Xenopus tropicalis: one gene and its partner. The protein of the gene in region 1 purifies or fractionates together with the protein of each later gene. This does not show direct contact. Links are inferred from orthologs where the notes say so. Each region holds a gene or a part of one and is shown on either strand. Other genes may lie near its edges.

The links. Proteins that work in one complex are often made in the same cells at the same time.
Region 2: the proteins of hadha (region 1) and gpc1 purify together in Homo sapiens (co-immunoprecipitation; 3 studies listed by BioGRID and IntAct, with this or other methods). This does not show direct contact. The link is inferred for Xenopus tropicalis from reciprocal best matches to the Homo sapiens genes HADHA and GPC1.

Annotation. Positions count from the first base shown.
Region 1 is NC_030681.2:154,397,451-154,401,380, forward strand, and holds the start of hadha (trifunctional enzyme subunit alpha, mitochondrial), read right to left. Parts: upstream 2,801-3,930; 5' UTR 2,794-2,800; coding exon 2,736-2,793; intron 1-2,735. UniProt on the Homo sapiens protein: Mitochondrial trifunctional enzyme catalyzes the last three of the four reactions of the mitochondrial beta-oxidation pathway.
Region 2 is NC_030681.2:127,205,484-127,209,772, forward strand, and holds the start of gpc1 (glypican-1 precursor), read right to left. Parts: upstream 2,801-4,289; 5' UTR 2,328-2,800; coding exon 2,162-2,327; intron 1-2,161. UniProt on the Homo sapiens protein: Cell surface proteoglycan that bears heparan sulfate. Binds, via the heparan sulfate side chains, alpha-4 (V) collagen and participates in Schwann cell myelination.

The DNA.
Region 1 (3,930 bases):
CACCGTACTAAACAGATACACATGCAATGGGGAATCTCACCCCCCCTACTAACTCATGGAATCTGCAACCTGCATCTAGATAACTTCCCCTTTAATACAGCACACTTGCATGGAGGCTGAAGGAGAAGAACCCACAAGCTTTATACACACTGCACTGCCCAATATAAGTATATGGGGGGGGGGGGGGGTTACTGATGTCTTTAGGATGGCTGGGGGGGGGGGGGGCAGATATACTGTAGGCCTGTGGAGCTCAAACTGGAAAGCCCTGACTAATAGGACAAGAGTTTGGCCATATCATTATACAGAGCATTTGTATTCCAATCACAGCTTTCCAGGCTTCACATTAATACCTGGCCCCCGGGGGGGGGGGATCTTTAGTATGAGAGTGCATGTACCCCAGGGGCAATGAGGCTGCCCTAGGCACATATTACTCAGTGGGGGGGGCTGCTCTGTATGTATCACACAGAAGGGACTTGGCTTTGCCCCGTGTGGGTCACCTTGCCCGTGTATGTGGGACAGAGGTCACGGTATTCAATAGAAATGGCTGCAGTCTCGGTGCCGTCTGTTGTGTCTCTAAAGGAATGTGGTCAGGCTGGGGGTGTGTGTGTGGGGGGGTCTCTCAGCTGTACAGCAGGGGAGCCTGGGTGGGCAGCCAATTACTCCAATTAAACCTGCAAACACCATCTATATGTACCCACCCCCAGGTACACAGGCAAGGGTGCAAATAAAGCAATAAATAGGGTGCAGAGGGAGACTGTGCATTCAATGATCAGGTTCTGAAGGAGGGAGACATTTTGTTCTGAACAGATAAAACCCAATTGGGCCCGGTACTGTGACACTGGGTTACAGCAGCCAATGAACGGACAGTAACTTGTGCAATTAACAAACAATATGGATTCCACTGTTTCTTAACCTTGTATCCCAAGATGTTGCTGAACTGCAACTCCCAGCACCCCTTAAACATGAGATAAAGGGCCACATCCATGCCGGATATTGCTCAGCCCAAACATTATCTACTTTTAAAAATACCTTTACCAAATTGAAATGAGAAACTTCACTAGAAAATTCTGTTTGAGGTGTTTCCCAACTCATTATCGGGGGCCTGTGCCAGTCCCAAGGTCACACCAGTGGGATAAAGCAATGGAGTTGATCATTTCCCATTTGCCTGTGCTTTATCCACTCCCATTTAGCCATACACACAGCAGCTGGGTTATTCTATAGCTCGAGGCATCAGCGGGGGAATTTAACAAGGGTTGTTTAAGGACATCGCCTCTCTCTGAACCCAGAGGTCCCCAGTGTGAGTGCCTGCCCGTCACTTTAGTGTTGCACCAATGAGAGAGGAACAATCCTCAATGAATAAATGAGTATATTATAAATTGGGGCGCCCTAACATTGCCCAGATGGGCTCTTCTCAATACGCTTTATATTTAAAGGGGACCCGTAACCCTAAAAATTATTCCAAATCCTTTTCTATCAGGTTAGATGAGCAAAATAAACTTTACTTACACTTTAAAAATTATTTTTTTCCCCCCCTTCAGTCTTGGAATTTACAGTCACAGCCAGCAGGCCGGCGCCATTTTGGGTACCCTGTTATTAAGGCAAAGCTTTGTGTCCCCCCAAAATCTTATGTATTTGCCATCTGGGGGATATCTAGGAAGTGCTGAATGGGAAGTGAAAGTAATTGTAATTAAAAATCTGAGCTGTCAGTCATATATTGCCTGCCCCGCCTCTATGCCGCAGGCATAGAGGCGGGGCAGGCAATATATGATTGACAGCTCAGATTTGTAAATACATTTATAACAGGTGTGAGTGACAGCTTCCCCTTTAAATGCTTCCAAAATGGTTCCACCTTTCAATGGATAAATGGGGATTGCCCCCCCAGCGTAAGTGCACAAGGGCCCCCTGCAAGTTAATCTGGGGATTGTCATTAAAGGCTAATTAGTTTGAGTGGTGTTAATTAGGCCAAAGCATGTGGCTAGCCAATCAGCGCAGATTAGGAGCCGACCTTGCCAATAAATACCCACTGGCCCAATTTGGATAAAGCGACCAATCTGACTACATTTTATCAAACTTGTACCTGCCAATATCTGGTTGCTACGGCTGTATCTTTGCTCAAGACAATATCTGGTTGCTACAGGTGCCTTTTTGCTCAAGACAATGTCTGGTTGCTACGGCTGTATCTTTGTTCAAGACAATATCTGGTTGCTACAGGTGCCTTTTTGCTCAAGACAATGTCTGGTTGCTACGGCTGTATCTTTGCTCAAGACAATATCTGGTTGCTACGGCTGTATCTTTGCTCAAGACAATATCTGGTTGCTACGGCCGTATCTTTGCTCAAGACAATATCTGGTTGCTACAGGTGCCTTTTTGCTCAAGACAATGTCTGGTTGCTGTGGCAATGGCTGCACTTTTGCACTGTGTCAGTCAGTGTGCATTATTACCCATAAGGCAAATGAATGCCAGACTCCTGCCCTATCTCTGTGCTTATTATTTCTCCTTCACACCAGCCTGGGCCCTGTCTCCCCACTACCCCCTGCCCTATATTAGCCTCTGTGCCCAGCTTGCACACCCCCTCTAACACCACATGTAATAAACCAGTACCCTCCGACTCCTGTTGAACTACAATACCCATCAGCCACCGCAGACAGCCGAGCCGGGGGGACTCTGCAGTTCAACAGAGCAGAAGTTGGAGGTTTCATATAGCACCCCCATATAAATAAGACTTTCCCGGGTACCTGTCCTGTTAGCCCCGCCGAGCCTGGCCAGAACCCCAACGAGCCGCGCAGCCGCCATCTTGTCCGGTGTGACACTGACAGGGCGCAACCTCCGCGGGCAACTTTTTCCTCACTAGCTTTTAGCTGTCCGCGGCACTGCCTGTCTGGCCGTGGGGAAATACCTCACACCTGGGCGCAAACCGGAGAGTTCTGCCCTCGGGAATCAACAGCATATAAACTAAACTGAAACACTCGGTAACGGTTTGTACTGTGCGCAGTGGGAGGGGAGATTGGGAGCGCTCAGGCGTGTGGCGGGCAGCCCCAGGGGGCGGGGTTACAGGGTCCTGACTGTGTGGGAGCGAAGTTGTGCCGGGGCAGCCGGAGTCCTGAGAGCGACTGGGAGACTGAGGGAAAGTAAGGTGAGTGCGGGTGTGGGGGGCACAGGGGCGGCATTGGGGCTTAGCTATAGCAACTCATGGCCGGGGGAACTGGGACGTCTCTCTCTCTCTGAAGTACGTACTATATACTGTAGGTTATACTGCTATACACAATCTCACTATAATAGTGACAGGTACGCACCCTGTAGTACAGTGATACACACTGAGTAACTGCTACAGTAACACAGGGATACACACTGAGTAACAGCTACAGTAACACAATGATACACACTGAGTAACTGCTACAGTAACACAGGGATACACACTGAGTAACAGCTACAGTAACACAATGATACACACTGAGTAACTGCTACAGTAACACAATGATACACACTGAGTAACAGCTACAGTAACACAATGATACACACTGAGTAACAGCTACAGTAACACAATGATACACACTGAGTAACAGCTACAGTAACACAATGATACACACTGAGTAACAGCTACAGTAACACAATGATACACACTGAGTAACTGCTACAGTAACACAATGATACACACTGAGTGCACCCCCCCAGTCTGACCCTGCAGCACTGTATAGTAGAACAATAAATGAATGCAACAGGGGGTTATTAAAATAGATAAATACACAGTATAACAATAAATACAAATAAATACAAGATACAGTTGCAATAAGTTAAGAATCAAAGAGACAAGAGGATGGAGGTCCCTGCCCCCTGGAGCTTACATTCTAAATGTTATTTGTGTCCCAGCAATGTGACGAGCTCTGTACAAAGCAAAACCCAACCCGTGTCTGTATGGGAAGCTCTAGTGTT
Region 2 (4,289 bases), about 27 Mb from region 1:
ATATTGATACCATGGGCACGGGCACGCAGGATATGATGCCATCTCTGATACTGTGCACCGCAGCTTATGCACTATTCAACAGCCACCGCTGATTCACTCCCCTATTGCCACATTGTATGCCATTTGCAGTCAGCACTACAGGTGGGTGCAATTACAGTACCCTGGAATTCTGGGTAAAACACTGCATTTTAATTTAAAAAAATAGGGATTTGCACATCAAAATTGATCCTACTAATTCCTTTTCGGCTATGGGCACATAACACTTCTTTTGTGCTCGCATTTTAAACCTGTGCACATTTTGTTTTTCAACCACATCTGCTATTTTACTATCCAGCTAACCTGAACAGCCTGGGGCAAATATGCCTGGGAGAATGGGCCAAAATCCCTCCTGAATAGTGTGCAAAGCTAGTACATTCTAAAGCCTTAATGCTGGCATAGTTGCAGTAGGTGGCTCTATAAAATATGAAATTGTGGAACCCTGTGCCGATGGCAGGCATTAGGCACAAGGGGGAACAGCGAATACTGTGGGCTAAGACATGGTATTTTGCTGCAGTTTTATTCCCTTTGTAAATGAACACTAATATTTGAAAACTAACATTGAGTGCCAGTATTGCACAGTATTTCTTACTCAGTAATGAAATAATTGATGAGGGGTCTAAATACTTTTCCAAAGGAAATGTCTATTATCTCTTCTATAGGAAACACACTGGTGCCGCACAATGTACACAGTACAAAGAGTACAAAGGGTACAGTAAGTAGCAAGAACCCAGAGTACAAAGGATATAACATTCTAATCCACTCCTGCAGGGTGCTACATCTATTGGGCAGTGCCCTAGAACATATTCACACCTGAGCATGGAAGCGCAACAAGCAACATCTGAGCGACAAGATAAAGTTACAGTGCAGGTAGCGGCACTCAGAGATGGTATCAATTACAATACACACACATAGAGATATAGATTTAATATATTGTATGTGAGGAGAGAACGAATAAAAGCACTGAGTCAAACATTTTTCCTAATACTGAGTCCATTTATATGTGTCTATGGAATTTGGCACAAGAGGTATTTGGCTTCCCTGAATACGGTGATGCTTTATTTCCTTAAATAAAAACTGTAGTGCCGTGTTAGCCAGTGTCAAAAATAAGAAGAAAAAACACAAATACAAGAGTATTGTAGAAATGATACCTATATTGGCTAACAATAATACATTGCAAGCTTTCGGAGCTCTGATAACTTGCAATGTATTTTTATTGTTAGCCAATATAGGTATCATTTCTACAATACTCTTGTATGTGTTTTTTTTATTATTATTTCCTTACAAACATACACTGTATAACAGCACTAGCCCCAAATCCTTTTAGGAATAATCTCTTAACAACAGCGGGAAATATAAAGTGTTGATTTAGCTATTAAGGATTGTTGGTTCTGCCAATAAGTCATTTATTTGTGGCCTGCAGAGCTGACAATCCAGGCCACTAGCACCCCAAAAAGCATGTTCAATCCCATAGCAATTTAGTAGCATTTTCAGCATGATCAAGCAATTGTGGATTCTGTGTCCCTAAGGGACATCTGAAACATCAACAATACATAACTAATGCCCAGCAATTCATTTCTTTTGACTCAAGGCACCCCTTTACCATGACACATCCTACTTGCTGGTATTTGCCCATTCAAACTAACTATTATCATTGCTAGATTCCAGCCCCATATGCAACAGCGCTTGCACACACAGCGCTACCCCACCTGCGTGTCTATGGGGGCTTCACTGGAAAGCCAGCACTGCTGAATCACAGGAGCCGGGAGGAAAGAGCATTTAGCCAGGGCTCCCGAGGGGCCCCTTGTGGGGAGAATGGAGATACAAGTAGAATGGACAGATTTAACTGTGTAACAACTGTCTGAGGGGTATTTACAGTATACACACCAGGAATAACACCCCACACTGCAGGAGAGTAGTTCATGTTAGGTATGCAGGCTTCCTTCATGGCCAGGGGCTGCCTTTTCCCCTAGATCTAGCCTGGATATATAAAGCAACTGCCCTGCCTTATAAGATAATCTGAGACTCTACAAGAAGTGACCAGAGATATCTGTTTAGACTCTCAGCTGAAATGCCCTTCTGGGAAGTCCCTGGGTCATGCCCATACTCTAACAGACCAACTCACCTGAGATTTCCGATTGTGGCGCTCCATTCAGGCTGAAGCCCTTAGCCAGGTACACCTGCTTCACCTCACTGCAGCTTTTGGTTTTACTTCCAGTGTCTCCAGCTGCCCAGTGCATAAGGCACAAAATGCCAAGATGCCACCACCAACCCCAGCAGAGCCGCTCCATTACCTTTGTGGATGGGTTGGCGTATGAGCCCAGCAAATACAGAAAGGAGAGTTTTGAAGAAGACACAAGGGTAGAGGAAGCCACATAAACAGTCCAGGAGTCAAGCCAATAACTTACAGCTTATCCTTTGTCCCTTGTGGCACCTCAGAGCAAAGAACAGAGGCACCGGCTAGCACCTCCGCTGAGGGGGGCATTCATATGTCAGGGGGGGCACACAAAAGCCCCTAGATGGAGATGATGCAGCAAAACTGGGGTAGGGCATGCCCAAGGTATGGATCCTTCTGTAGATAATGGGCTTAGACCAAAAGAGAACAAAGCACAAAGCAGGACAATGCAGCAAAGCTGGTACTGGAACTGAATTGGATCCCACCTGCACTGCTGTCAGAGGGTCACTGGGAGCCACTCAGCCGGGCTCAGCCTGGGGCCAGCACTGTCAGGCTTGGGGCAAGCTGGGGCAGCGGGTTGGGTTCGGTTGGGGCAGAGCTGGGTTCGGTGTCGGATCCTTGGGAGCAGTGCGGGCTGAGGGGGCTGAGGGGGCTGCCTGTCAGTGACACGGCAGGGGGTGCAGGCTGATTGCTGCTCCACACAAGCTGCTCATGTCGGCTGGAAGCTGCTGGGTGTTGTCCTTATACCGAGATGCCTGGGGGCACCGCTACCTGCCGGCGGGGAGAGCGACTCGGTGCAACTGCTGACCTTCTAACATTGGGGCTAAACGATCCCTTTGTAATGGATCCGCCTGTCAATACGCTCTGTATCACGCCGCAACACGCATCCCCATCCTGCTGCTCTCAGCCACTCGCACAGATGCTACTATCGCAGGGACCAGTCGCACTGACAGCTTTATTGCATGAAACGTTAGGCAGACAGCATTCCCGGGGCTCCCCCGTGTGACCCCACAGTGCCCGCCTGCTTCTCCTGCTGTCAGGCTTATACCGCTATGGGCAACCGGGATGCTCGCCGAGCGCAGCTCTGTGCCGCCTCCCCCGCTACTCCTGTGCGGACTGACTCCCAGCATGGGCCCGCAGCCAATAGCAGGCACAGACACAGGCTGCGCTCTACTCACACGCTGATTGGCTGCTTGGGACAGACTGAAACGGGGGTGGGGACTGCTGGGGTGTGTGCATTTGTACAAAGGATGAAATATGTGATTAGATAGATTGATAGATGATACATAGATAGATAGATAGATGATAGATAGATAGATAGATAGATAGATAGATAGATGATAGATAGATAGATAGATGATAGATAGATAGATAGATAGATAGATAGATAGATAGATGATAGATAGATAGATAGATAGATAGATAGATAGATAGATGATAGATAGACAGATAGATAGATAGATAGATAGATAGATAGATAGATGATAGATAGATGATAGATAGATAGATAGATAGATAGATGATAGATAGATAGATAGATATATGATAGATAGATAGATAGATAGATAGATAGATAGATAGATGATAGATAGATAGATAGATGATAGATAGATGATAGATGATAGATAGATAGATAGATGATAGATAGATGATAGATAGATAGATAGATAGATGATAGATAGATAGATGATAGATAGATGATAGATGATAGATGATAGATAGATAGATAGATAGATAGATAGATAGATGATAGATAGATAGATGATAGATAGATGATAGATGATAGATAGATAGATAGATAGATGATAGATAGATAGATGATAGATAGATAGATAGATGATAGATGATAGATGATAGATAGATAGATAGATAGATAGATAGATAGATGATAGATAGATAGATAGATAGATAGATGATAGATAGATAGATAGATAGATAGATGATAGATAGATGATAGATAGATTTTAATAATGCAATCTTATTGAATGATTGCCAAGAAATATTAAAGGGCAAGTATAGTTTGAATCTGCAAGCTGTTACATTAATATTAGAGTAGAGGGCTGCTGAAACAAGCCTC